Linked DNA regions of Zea mays. The protein of the gene in region 2 binds, or shares a complex with, the protein of the main gene of each other region. Links are inferred from orthologs where the notes say so. Each region holds a gene or a part of one and is shown on either strand. Other genes may lie near its edges. The genes, in order: Dolichol-phosphate mannose synthase subunit 3-like and Dolichol-phosphate mannosyltransferase subunit 1-like.

The links.
Region 1: Dolichol-phosphate mannosyltransferase subunit 1-like (region 2) and Dolichol-phosphate mannose synthase subunit 3-like share a complex: the UniProt entries of both Arabidopsis thaliana proteins name them as parts of the dolichol-phosphate mannose (DPM) synthase complex. The link is inferred for Zea mays from reciprocal best matches to the Arabidopsis thaliana genes DPMS1 and DPMS3.

Annotation. Positions count from the first base shown.
Region 1 is NC_050096.1:289,685,207-289,691,607, reverse strand, and holds Dolichol-phosphate mannose synthase subunit 3-like, read right to left. Parts: upstream 4,134-6,401; 5' UTR 3,457-4,133; coding exon 3,283-3,456; intron 3,196-3,282; coding exon 3,088-3,195; intron 2,893-3,087; coding exon 2,833-2,892; 3' UTR 2,570-2,832; downstream 1-2,569. UniProt on the Arabidopsis thaliana protein: Regulates the biosynthesis of dolichol phosphate-mannose. Regulatory subunit of the dolichol-phosphate mannose (DPM) synthase complex; essential for the ER localization and stable expression of DPMS1.
Region 2 is NC_050096.1:301,157,619-301,164,296, forward strand, and holds Dolichol-phosphate mannosyltransferase subunit 1-like, read left to right. Parts: upstream 1-2,477; 5' UTR 2,478-2,840; coding exon 2,841-2,947; intron 2,948-3,936; coding exon 3,937-4,036; intron 4,037-4,153; coding exon 4,154-4,187; intron 4,188-4,266; coding exon 4,267-4,343; intron 4,344-4,439; coding exon 4,440-4,465; intron 4,466-4,923; coding exon 4,924-5,088; intron 5,089-5,164; coding exon 5,165-5,279; intron 5,280-5,362; coding exon 5,363-5,467; 3' UTR 5,468-5,608; downstream 5,609-6,678. UniProt on the Arabidopsis thaliana protein: Transfers mannose from GDP-mannose to dolichol monophosphate to form dolichol phosphate mannose (Dol-P-Man) which is the mannosyl donor in pathways leading to N-glycosylation, glycosyl phosphatidylinositol membrane anchoring, and O-mannosylation of proteins; catalytic subunit of the dolichol-phosphate mannose (DPM) synthase complex.

The DNA.
Region 1 (6,401 bases), about 11 Mb from region 2:
CCGGCGCGAGCGGCTCTGATTCGGGCATGGCCCCGATGCGGCTCCGGCACATTCGAGCGTGCGGCTGCTGGCGTGCAGTGCGATTCCGACGCGGGCGGAGCACCACTACGGTGATGGCAGTTCGTCGCGCATAAATTGCAGCCCATGCACAACTCAATCAGTAAACATACAACTTGTTTGCGTAGAGGGAAAATCGAAGCCTGTCGCGTAGGACAGTTTGGCTAGGCCAAGAGACCTGCCAGCTTGACGAAGAGTTGATACAGATCTAATCCACGCAGCAACGTCGAGGTAGAGCGTGCTGATAACGTGTTGAGAACTACGTTACCACGGATCACCAGATCCGCTCCCTTCCCTCCCGTCAGCAGTAGAGGCGTAAGAAGATGTAGAGAACCCGTCTCCCTTCTCATAAGCACGACAGAGGAAACACACGAGACACAGGATATAGGGTTGGGCCTTTGACCTCTTTCTCTTCTCTGTATTATGAGGGGGTGTACAGGTTACTTATATAGAGATGTGAGACCCTTCAGGGGCAAAGCAGGTACTTGCCCACATAACCCTAACTAGGGTTACTTAACAATCATTTCTCAGATACTCACATCCTAGGACTCCCAAATGGGAAACCAATGTGACAATTAAACAACTCCCTAGAAGGTGCATTTATCCTCATCACCATTAATCAAGATAACTTTAGTCTTGAAATTGATTCTAAGCTCAAGTACCATTTCATACACATATACAGCAACAATTTCAGCTTTCTAACAATTTTCCATGTCAAATTTAAGACATGCGATAGTGTCACTGGCATATTGCAAAATAGCAATGCCTTCGGGAATTAGATTATATGTCAGCCCAGTAATTAAAACGTTACTAAAAGCGTGTTCAACAATTTTAGACAAGCAATCAGCTGTGAAGTTAAAAAAAATGGTGATAAGGGTCCACGGACCAATTTGGCCATTAAGCTTCACCAGTTACAATACCACCCTTTGACAGCTTTACTAATCCAGTTGCACCATTTTTCACTAAATTTTCTCATTATAAGAAAGTGAACAAAAACTTCCCAAAATGACTTTGCCATATGCCTTGTCAAAGTCGTTTTCAAAAACCAAACAACATTATTTTCACCTTTTTGTTTCATGGAGGATTTCTTGGAAGGCCATAATTCCGCTCATAAGGGCAGATTGAGCTTTTTTTTAATAAATTTCAGTAAAATGTTCTAACCCAAGAATCAGAACTAGTAATTAGATGTGCCTGGATTTTTTTTAAAAAAAAATTCTATCAGCATCAACCACTTCAGAAAAGGGTGTGATGACTCTGCTTACATCTAATAAAACATTACAAACGTCTTGAAATAAATTTGTAGTTCCAGCAGGCCAGATAAAAGTCTATAGGAATGCTGACAGGCAGTAACATCTTTAATCTCATTTTCAGAAAAGAGGTTTGCAAAGGATATTGTCTTTTTCATCAATTTTTAGAACAGCTTCGCAGATGAGATCAATAGGAAAAATATTTCTAGGTGCTGGACCGAAGTTCTCATAATAATTAGTAGCAACTGGAAAAGTTTACTATCACCCTCTATGATGTTTTCACCACCATGAAGGTTGAGAATTGTATTGTTCCTTTTTATACTATTTGCAACTCCATGAAACTATTCTGTGTTACTGTCCCCTTTGAGAAACCATGTTGCATGGGATCTCTGTAGCCAATATAGTTTCCCATTTTTCCAGTATGTTCAACAGTCAGCTAGTTTAGCTGATTTATCATGGAATTGATCCTGTGATAGCAGACCTTCCTCTATAAGTTCCAAGACCATAAAATCTAAGTTTTGCTCTTTGTTTCCTAATTTCAACCTGCAAATTAAAACCCCTGCCCTTAGAACCTGCAAATTCATTCCTCTATAAGTTTCTTTTGGAATTTTGTCTGAAACTGATTTAGCGTAATATGGTTTTGTCCAAATATCTTCCACTAGGGGTAAAAAGCCAGCATGTTTGGGCAAGCTCAAAACAAAAAAGATGTCTACTGGCAGCTTGGTTGTGATTAAAATCAGGGAATTGTGGCCAGTATTAGAATCCCTGTATGGCACGGCGAGGCCTGCGGCCTTGCACCCGCTGTACTTGGCCAACTTAGCGACACCATATGCCCTAGGGTTGCTGTCCTATATATGTAACCCCTAGTTGATCAATACTATCATTGATTAATGATTGGATAGCCTTTCAGTCAAAATTTCCCTTGGCATTTTATAGCACAGCACTCTAGGATATAAATCTTACCGGCTCTTAGTCATCAGGCTTCGATCTAGCTTTTCAAGGGTATAAAACCTTTTATTAGTTGAGCAAGTATATTTACCACCTGACATTCTGATGTCAATGAGCTCATTGTTAGCAATTATGGCATTAAAAAGATCAGAATATCTGTTAACTGTAGTTTGTAACATGCCATATTGAATGAAAGAAACTTTGCAAGTACTGCAGAGAAATTCAAACACTGAATCCTCGAAGGGACTTGCGAGTACAAGTGATGTCATAACGCATAAGGTGACATACTGAACAGCAGAATTGGTAAATGGTCCACTGACGGGAAATCAAGATAGAAACCAAATATTCCTAGAACAGTTCAGTCTTTAAAACTTGAAAAACACCGGCAAGTCAATGTGAGCCCCATCATTGACAAAAGCAGAACTATAACATGCCAACTCACAAAAACCGTGTTAGTAATAGCTGAACATAGTGGAATTATATGTTTCCTATCTACAGTACCCAAAAAAGCAACCTATTCCAAGGAACAGAATGGTGATCCTTCAAAACAGACATGTATGTCAACCACTTAAAATTGATCTCACTCAGAGCCCACATCAACACCCCTCTTTCCTAAGAATTCCTTTGCCTCCACAATATCCTGCATAATACGCCAATCTTGGACAAATGAGAATAAACCAGGGTATGATCATACTCAAACAGCCCCCAAAAAAAAAGAATATCATTTGGCATTGATTTCTTTGTCATGATCTGTATGATCCATGAGATGTACTGCAAATACAGCTCAAGAAGTTTCGAGGGTTCTGCAGTTTAGCCTCACATTAAAATAGCTAACCTGTTGCAGTAGTACAGCTTCTCGAGGACAAGTTGGGAAGAACATAAGTCCAAATCCAACCATAAAAAGGCCATAGCATCCAAGAGCCACTACCAAGTAGATGGGAAGCTGAAACAGAAATAACCAATTCATAAACGAACTACTACTTCACACTATTTTTTAAGATATTTACTAGCAAAAATCAGTGACACTGACCAGCCAAGTATAACTTCGAGGAACAGTGGAGGTTTCAAGGAGAGCAATCCAGATAGCAGAGATTGCTACCAGTATTGCAGCAATCTTGAATATGTGCTTCATTTGGGGATGAGGTGTTTTACTGTCATAAAAAAGAAAAAAAATAACAAGATGAAAAGCAAAACATAGAGGCATTTGCAATTTTTCCACTCAAAACGCTGGGCATCGCTAATTTGCCATCGGATCCACAAATCATAGACAGACAGGTCCACAGATCATAGACACAGGTGGCATGGCATAATAGCAAGAGAGCAACACTCTAGGTGGCGAAATTGCAAATTTCTCCAAAACATAGATCCTAACATATAAGCCGTTATAAAGGTTGATTTTGGGCCATCTTCATGCTGCTGCTGGTGGGTTTGGTTGAACACAGGTACTCTAGATTGATTGCTGGGCAAACTGTATAGACCTTTGAGAATGAGCAGGGTTCAACAAGCGGCGGTAAGCGCACGCTGAAGCGCTAAGCGAACGGGTAACGTTTTGCTTTCGCTTTGGGGCATATGCGCTCCCAAAGCGGCGCGACCGCCTTGGTGGGGCAGCGGTTGCTGGCTCCCGCTGCCCTCAGGCCGCGCGCGGCGCAGCCGCCGGGGCTGGGCGCCGTTGACGATCCACCGGAGGCGGGAGGAGAGAGAGAGAGGCACGCACGAAGGGTAACCGGCGGTGTGCGGAGGACCGGAGGCGAGGGCGCGAGGCAACTGGCGAGAGGCGGGAGTGGAAGCTGCTGACGCCGTCGCTGAGAGCCCGAATCTGAGAGCCGCCACCGCCGCCGCCGCCGCCGCCTGCGTACCGAGAGCGAGTGAGGGAGGGAGCGCAAGATGGAGCGCCGGCGTTGCGAAGATGGGAGATGCAGAAACGGCGGCGGCAGTATGCCTTCGCTGGATCAGTGAAAAGGTTGAGACTTGAAAGTAAAGAAACGTGTGGGTCTTGTGGAACTTGGGTTTGTGCTGATTGATGGGCTTTTAGATGGGCCACTGAATAAAAGTCCATACTAATCATTTTCTTTTCTTTTTCTTCTTCTTTTTTCATTTATTTTCCTTTTTCCTTTTTCTTTCTATCATCTTTTGACATACCATCACATAATTCAATGTGTACCCGATGCTTTAAGTTATGTGTTGGGTGTGTATTGAATGTTAGTAACTTCCATTAGTAATTACATAGTCAAGATTCTTGTAAAATAATGATTAAGAAACATTTGTAGTTCTAAAAGCTCATTTGTAAATACAAACTCCAGCATGAGAAATAATGAAAACCAACCCTCAACTTTCCTAAAAAAGGGAGACAGGAGATGTGGGGAGGGGCCTAACCCTTGATTCATTTGAAGTCTTTAAAATAAACAAGAAAATAAATATTTCGACGATAAATTCTAAACCTTAGTGGGCGACCCACTTTCTCCACACCCGCGTCGAACCAGGTCCAAGGAGTAGCGAATCTGTTTTTTTTCCTTAGGATAGTGTTTGCACGTGTGGACTCTCAATCGCACTGACTAGCATGTGGGGCTCACTCATCGGAGTCGTCTCCTATCTAGAGTCCTTGGACTCAGTTGTCATGATTATTAAGATGTTTAATATAAAGAGAACTCCGAAGTATAAATATGGCAAATATATTATTAGAATAGGAGAGACAAGCCAGAGTCCTAAATAGATAGGACAAAATCTCAACATATAAGATAGAGTCCTAAGCGGATTGGGCAAGATCTTAACATATAAGGAAGGCACACTTGTAATTATAGAGAGTTGGATTTTTTGTACGACTAGGTTACCAGATTAGACCTATCATGTAACCTACCCGTGTTCACCCTTGTAACTGCTCCTCTCCTTGGATTATAAAAGGAGTGGCGGGGGAGCCCCCGATAGCGTAGACCATAACACAACAGATCAATAGCCACTAAAACACTAGCTGGACAACACTGGATGTAGGGTATTATCTTACGATGAGAGTTCGAACAAGTCTAAATATTATGTTATTGTGCACTTTACCTTCCAATCTTGTTATCGTGGCCTATTCCATAAAATCACTATCAAGAAATTCTCGGTAGAGCAATCGGAATACCAAGATTGTGAAGACTCTAGGTAGGAGGATCTTGCTTTAAAAGGCAAGTTATGTCCCTAATTACATTTTTTGATCTATATAATATTTACTATTATGTTATCACATATACATTGCATTGTTAGGTTAAATTGATGGGTGAAAGGGAAATAGGGTTAACCTTTTTCTACGATTAATTTTGGTGGTTGAATGTCCAACACAAATAATTAGACTAACTAGTTTGCTTTAGAATTCATGTATTACAGGTGCATAAGGTTCAACACAAACCAATAAATATTCAAGTTAGGGACCCAATTCAAAAGGAGCAAAAAGGACTTGAGTATGTTGTGGACTGGCGCACCGGACTGTCCGGTGTGCCACCGGACAGTGTCCGGTGCACCAGGTCCGTACAGGGTTCAACCAGCCACTCTCGGGAAAAACGCAGGCACGCTCCACTATAATTCACCGGACTGTCCGGTGAGCCAGCGGGGTAACGGCTACCTGCACGCAATGGTCGACTCTGACAGCGCTACAGTGTCGCGGCAAAAGTCAGAGCAGCGAGTCAGAGCGGCACCGGACCGTCCGGTGCACCACCAGACTATCCGGTGCCACAAGAAGACAACAACGCCAATGGTCGACTCCTCCAGAACCCTAACGGTAGGGTGACATGGCGGCGCACCGGACAGGGAACAGTGCCTGTCCGGTGGCGCACCGGACCCATCGACATCAGCCTCCCCAACGGCTACTTTGGTGGTTGAGGGCTATAAATACCTCCCAACCACCACAACTCCAAGCATCCAAGTTTTCTGAACATCACATTCAATACAAGAGCTCTAGCATTCACTCCAAGACACAATACAAAAGATCAAATCCTCTCCAAGTCCCAAATTCACTCCAAACACGTAGTGGTTTGTGAGAGAGATTTTTGTGTTCATTTGAGTTCTTGCCGCTTGGATTGCCTTTCTTCTTTTCCCATTCTTATTCTCAAGTGCTTTGTAAGCGAGGCAAGATACACCAAGTGTGTGGTGGTCCTTGCGGGGTCTTAGTGACCCGTG
Region 2 (6,678 bases):
CACCCGGCGGGTGCGCTCGCGCGCACCCACCGGAACAAAACGCAACCGAGAAAGGCTGGTCCCCTTGCAAAAAAGTGCGACGAAAGCCTCCAAGCGAGTGCTAACACTCCCTTCGAGGCTCGGGGGCTACTGTCGGGGACCATAATTAGGGGTACCCTCAAGGCTCCTAATTCTCAGCTGGTAACCCCCATCAGCATAAAGCTGCAAAGGCCTGATGGGTGCGATTAAGTCAGGGATCAGTCCATTCGAGGGACTCGATCATGCCTCGCCCGAGCCTAGCCTCGGACAAGGGCAGCCGACCCCGGAGGATTTCCGTCTCGCCCGAGGCCCCCCTCCAGCGGCGAACATATTTCAGGCTCGCCCGAGGCCCTGCCTTCGCCAAGAAGCAACCCTGACCAAATCACCGCACCGACCGACCAAATCGCAGGAGCATTTAATGCAAAGGTGGCCTGACACCTTTATCCTGACGCGCGCCCCCCCAGCCGGCAGAGCCGAAGTGACCGCCGTCACTTCGCCGCTCCACTGACCGGCCTGACAGAAGGACAGCGCTGCCTGCGCCACTCCGACTGCGGTGCCACTTGACAGAGTGAGACTGACATGCAGTCAGGCCCTGCCGAAGGCACCATAGGAAGCTCCGCTTCGCCCGACCCAGGGCTCGGACTCGGGCTAAGTCCCGGAAGACGGCGAACTCCGCTCCGCCCGACCCAGGGCTCGGACTCGGGCAAAGTCCCGGAAGACGGCGAACTCCGCTCCGCCCGACCCAGGGCTCGGACTCGGGCAAAGTCCCGGAAGACGGCGAACTCCGCTCCGCCCGACCCAGGGCTCGGACTCGGGCTAAGTCCCGGAAGACGACGAACTCCGCTCCGCCCGACCCAGGGCTCGGACTTGGGCTCAGCCCCAGAAGACGACGAACTCCGCTCCGCCCGACCCTAGGGCTCGGACTCCGCCCCAGCCGACGGCCTCCGCCTCGCCCGACCCAGGGGCTCGGACTCGACCTCGGCCATGGAAGACAGACTCGACCTCGGCTTCGGAGGAGCTTCCACATCGCCCAACCTAGGGCGCAGGCCAGCCACGTCAACAGGAGGCGCCATCATCACCCTACCCCGAGCTGACTCGGGCCGCAGGGAACAAGACCGGCGTCCCATCTGGCTCGCTCCGCCAGATAGGCAATGATGGCGCCCCGCATACTCTGTGACGACGGCGGCTCTCAGCCCCCTTACGGAAGCAAGAGGACGTCAGCAAGGACTCAACCGCTCCGACAGCTGTCCCTCCACCAGGCTCCATTGCTCCTCCGACGGCCACGACATCACACCAGCTGGGTGCCAAAATCTCTCCGGCTGCCACAACGGCATGTACTTAGGGCGCTAGCTCTCCTCCGCTAGACACGTAGCACTCTGCTACACCCCCCATTGTACACCTGGATCCTCTCCTTACGCCTATAAAAGGAAGGACCAGGGCCCTCTTAGAGAGGGTTGGCCGCGCGGGGACGAGGACGAGACAGGCGCTCGCTTGAAGCCGCTCGCTCCCTCTCCCGCGTGGACGCTTGTAACCCCCTACTGCAAGCGCACCCGACCTGGGCGCGGGACGAACACGAAGGCCGCGGGATTCCCACCTCTCTCACGCCGGTCTCCGGCCGCCTCGCTTTCCCCCCTTCGCGCTCGCCCTCGTGCTCGACCCATCTGGGCTGGGGCACGCGGCGACATTCACTCGTCGGCTCAGGGACCCCCCGGTCTCGAAACGCCGACAAGTATATATTAATGAAAGAAGAAGCATACGAAACATGAGAGACAACATGAATAATTATACAACATCTTTAATATATCTTTGTTATACCACCATAAGTGAATACGAACAATATTGAATTACATTTATACCTTTGGTTTGACAGAAGGCGAAAGTCCAAGCGTGACGCAGGAATGAATACAAGTCAGTGTCCACAGTACGGGGTACTGTTCATCTATTTATAAGCACATGACGCAGCCTGGTCGGAATTACATTCATGTCCTCGATAAATAACTAAAAACATGACACAAACTGTCATGGACTGATTGGTCTTTTCCATTTTAAGTCGGTGCAACTCTTCGTCTTGAAATATGCCACTATGCCGAAGCTCCTTGATAGTAGCTTCGGCTTACATCTTCGTGCTGTGTTTTTACTTAAGGGACCTTCGGCGACGAAGCAGGCCCCAACAATAATCATGAGCATATTTTAGAATGGGACATCTATTCTACATGTAATGGTAGTAGGTTAACAGATAATTTTATAAATAACTCTTTCCACCATGTTAGTTAAATGAAAAGAGTTCTTCATAAAATTGGTTCTCTAACTATCTCTACTATTTATTTATTTTTTATTTTAATTTTCGCTCTGTAAACAATACAATGTGCGGTGTACACGACCGTAGATACGAGATGGATATGGATGTCATTTATGTCATCGATCATGGATGTCATTATGTCATTTGTATCCCTTTGAATCAGTTCCACGGTTCCTCCTCCTCCCTCTATTTCCCTGTCCAGACTGGTGGCCACAGCAGGGCACGCCGGCGACGCGCACCCGCCGGCAACCAGGTTTCCCGGCGCCGCCCCTTGTCTAGTTCTCAGCTTCTCCTCGCGGCGCCCCTTACTGGCTTCCTCTTCTTCCCAGACGGTGGCGCGTCAAGACTCCCCACCCGGCTGTCCGGCGAGGACCTCGGCTCCTCGCCCCTCCGCCGCTAAAGAGCCGCCATCCAGCCGCCCAGCCCCAGGCCCCACCGCCCCAGCTCCACCTCGGTCCCCTCGCCTCACCTCGACCCGGATTCCGCCCCTCGCCTCACCTCGACCTACATCTGCCTCGTCCCCATGGAGGCGGCGGCGAGCCGCAAGCGCGCGTACAGCATCATCGTGCCTACCTACAACGAACGCCTCAACGTCGCCCTCATCGTCTACCTCATCTTCAAGCACCTCCCGTAAGCACCTCCCACCGCCCAGATCCCTCTCTCCCGTTTGGCGCTGATCTGTCTCTCGCCGTTGCACCTTTTGCTGCCACGGTTGGGTCGAGATCGTCTTCGTGGTGAACGTTGTCGGATTCGATTTCGTTAGATCAGATGCCATTCGGTTGCGTGCGTCAACTGGATCGATTAGATTAATAACCTACTTAACAAGAATCAATCTGATCTGAATGTGTGAATGGAACTGACGATATCTGTTTAGGTGTTACCTTGCTTTGAGATCCAACTGCAGGCACCTGTCAATTATAAAGTAGAATCACTTGTTACTCAATTATTCGTCTAAATAGATGACACAGATTATTTATGTTCTCTCTTTGCTTCAATTCGAACTCTTTTATGTGGACATTAACCAGCCCTCCCTTGAGCTCTGCTTGCACATCTTACAGTATATAGTTGCAGAGTTCTAATGATGCCAGTACCGTTGAAGTGATCACTGTCCACTGTTTTTTTTTCTGAGAACAGGGAACGAAACAATTTTCTAGTGCTATTTTGGCAACATTGGAGCTAGAATTTGCTTCTTGTTTGTCGAAACCTTGAACTGTCAGTGGCAATCAGTTTCCTTCTTTTTTGTGTGTGTATTTGGACCTACAGGTCAGGTCATAGATACCCTTCATTCTAGTGCTTCCCTGCTGGGCGTGCCTAATTCACTCTATCAGACAAACAAAAACTTGCAAATTTTTTGTGAGTTCATCGGCTATGTCAAATGGGTGATGAGAATCTCTCCTGCTTGGATATCAAATGTACTATTAGGTATTACAACTTGCAACTGTTGGCTTGTTGTGTGTCCCTTTTCTTAGAATGTCACCATGCGTTAGACTGCCACTATTTAACTTCCATTGTTTGCTGGAGGCTTGCTACTATGGTGGAAAGGAAATTATTACATTCATATAGATATGTTGCCAAGTTCTTACATATTGTATCACCTGAGTTGACATTTTTTACCTCAGGGATGTGAACTTTGAGATCATTATTGTGGATGATGGTAGTCCAGATGGAACTCAGGACATTGTAAAACAGCTGCAGCAAGTATATGGTGAAGATTTTGTTGTAAGTAGCTTAAAAAAATATGTTCCTGGTCCACTTGAAGTTTTTGTACATATGATGTCAGTCTGTTTATTCAGTACCATGGCTTAATGCATTGTCTTTAACCTGATATGATGCTAGTTACTGCGAGCTAGGCCAAGGAAGCTAGGGCTTGGTAAGTTTAGACACCTGACTTCAATTTTTAGTGAAATTATTTCCCCTACTTATGTTAAGTAGCATCTGGAACTATCCAGGTACCGCATATTTACATGGACTAAAGCATGCCTCAGGGGAATTTGTCATTATCATGGACGCGGACCTATCTCACCATGTATAAATATTTCTTTTTTGTTACTATTTTTTTTTCTGTTTGCTATTTACAATATTTTTCTTCCTAGCTTGCTAACTATTTTCCCACCTTGAACAGCCAAAATACTTGCCAAGCTTTATTAGGTAAGAATCATATCTCTGAAGATATAAGAGTTAGTTAGTTTATACTACATGTTATTTTACATATATTAGTCCGCATCCTCAAATCTATTTTTTAGCACATATAATTCTCAGTCTGATTGTTCTCAAAATATATTTAGCGAGAAGAAAGGTTAATACTGTTACAGTTGTTGAATCCATTAGCTGAAAAATACATTTCAAGTAAAGGTTATCAGTTAGTCCCTTTGGCCTCCTCATTGAGGGTACTGAAATGTACCCCCTCCCAAAATATAGGTCTTTCTAGCTCTCTTTTTTTTCGTCCACATTCGAATGGATGATAATGACTGTAGATATACATACAAACTACATTTATAGGTTGATTAATGAATTTTTGTTTAGTCTAAAACAAATTATATTTTGGGACGGATGGAGTAGTAATTTAAATAATTGTCTTTTTTAACCATGTTATTTTCCTTAACCAGGAAGCAAAAGGAAACTGGAGCTGACATTGTAACTGGCACACGTTATGTTAAGAATGGTGGTGTCCATGGTTGGAATCTCATGCGCAAGCTGACTAGCAGAGGTGCAAATGTTCTTGCACAAACGTTACTGCAGCCTGGAGCTTCAGATTTAACCGGATCATTTAGGTCTGCCTTTCTTTTATCTCGAACAGAATAAACACCCACCTTTCAGTCACCTCTTTTGATGAGCGTATCATAATAGGCTATATAAGCGAGATGTCCTGGAAGACTTAATCTCCTCATGTGTCAGCAAGGGCTACGTGTTCCAGATGGAGATGATTGTTAGGGCTACAAGGAAAGGTTATCACATTGAAGAGGTATGCACCGTGCTGTCTCATTTTTCATCGATCATCTCTTGACTCTGGTAAATGGATCGTTGATTGCTCCCTCTCCTCTCCAGGTTCCAATAACGTTTGTGGACAGAGTATTTGGAATTTCAAAACTTGGCGGGTCCGAGATAGTTGAATATTTGAAAGGCCTTGTTTATCTTCTGCTCACAACATGATTGAAGATATATAGTAGGCTTCTGGTTTGTGGGTACAACCGTGTTACATTACAGAGAATTTTACTGATGTGTTATTAATGCAGCTTGAATTGTAACAGTACCACCATTACGCATGTTTCCAGTGGATGGATTATTGTACTCAATTCTTGGTTTTCTCTGTACACTTTATCAGTCTCTACGGGACGGTTCTTTGCCACTTTAGGGCTTGTTCGGTTACACCAATCCAGAAGGGGATTGGAGGAGATTAAATCCCCTCCAAGTCAAAAATGACTAGGAGAGGATTTAAACCCTTCCAATCCTCTTCTGGATTGGTGTAGCCGAACATGCCCTTAGCATGAATGAGCCACCCACCTACTTTAGTTGGATCACCCACATGCTCTTTAGGTGATCATTAAACTTTCGATTGCCACCAAACCGTCTAGATCATGTCTGTCATTGTGCAACTACACCAAAGTATGTAGAGTACTGAAATGGAGAGTATTGGAGAGAGTTGTGTGTGTGTGTGTGGGGGCGGGGGGGGGGGGGGGGGTAGGTTGACGATGTGTTGAATGTAGGCATGGCCAGGAATCAACATGCAAACAATTTTGTGTCCTCTTGTATATGGTGATTGATAGACACAAAGGAGAACAAGATTACAAGTTACAATATAAATCGAGCAGCATGACTTGCTAGCTCTCCCTTCCCTCTTAGCCTACCCTTGGGAGTTCTATTCTAGTTTCTCCCTCTTGACCAAGCATGGACGCTCTACTTTGTCTTTAGTTTGGGTTACCATAGATTGTCTGAACCTTCAATTGTGTGCATATTAGCCTAATTCAAATGAATCATGTTCTCAGTTCTACTCCCTTTTAGACCATGTCTAGTAGTTCATCCATATGATCACCCAAAACACTGTTTTGTATTGTATACTGTACTATTCACAGAGTGGAGTTGGAATATAGGTATGAAGATGGGTAAGCTGATGGAGATGACCTTATAGCCCATGGGAGGAGAGAATTACAATAAGAAGAGTTGGGGCCCCTACCTGGTTGTCAAGGATTTTTTGGCAATGAATTTATGGGGTAGGTCACGAGACCGAAAGCTAAAGATAAATGCACAAGAGACACAGAGATTTAGAGAGAATCAGACTTTTGATGTGAGATAATACCTTACATCCTATATATGCTGGCTATTGCTTATGATCTTGATGTAATGCCATGCCCTTAGGGGGCTCC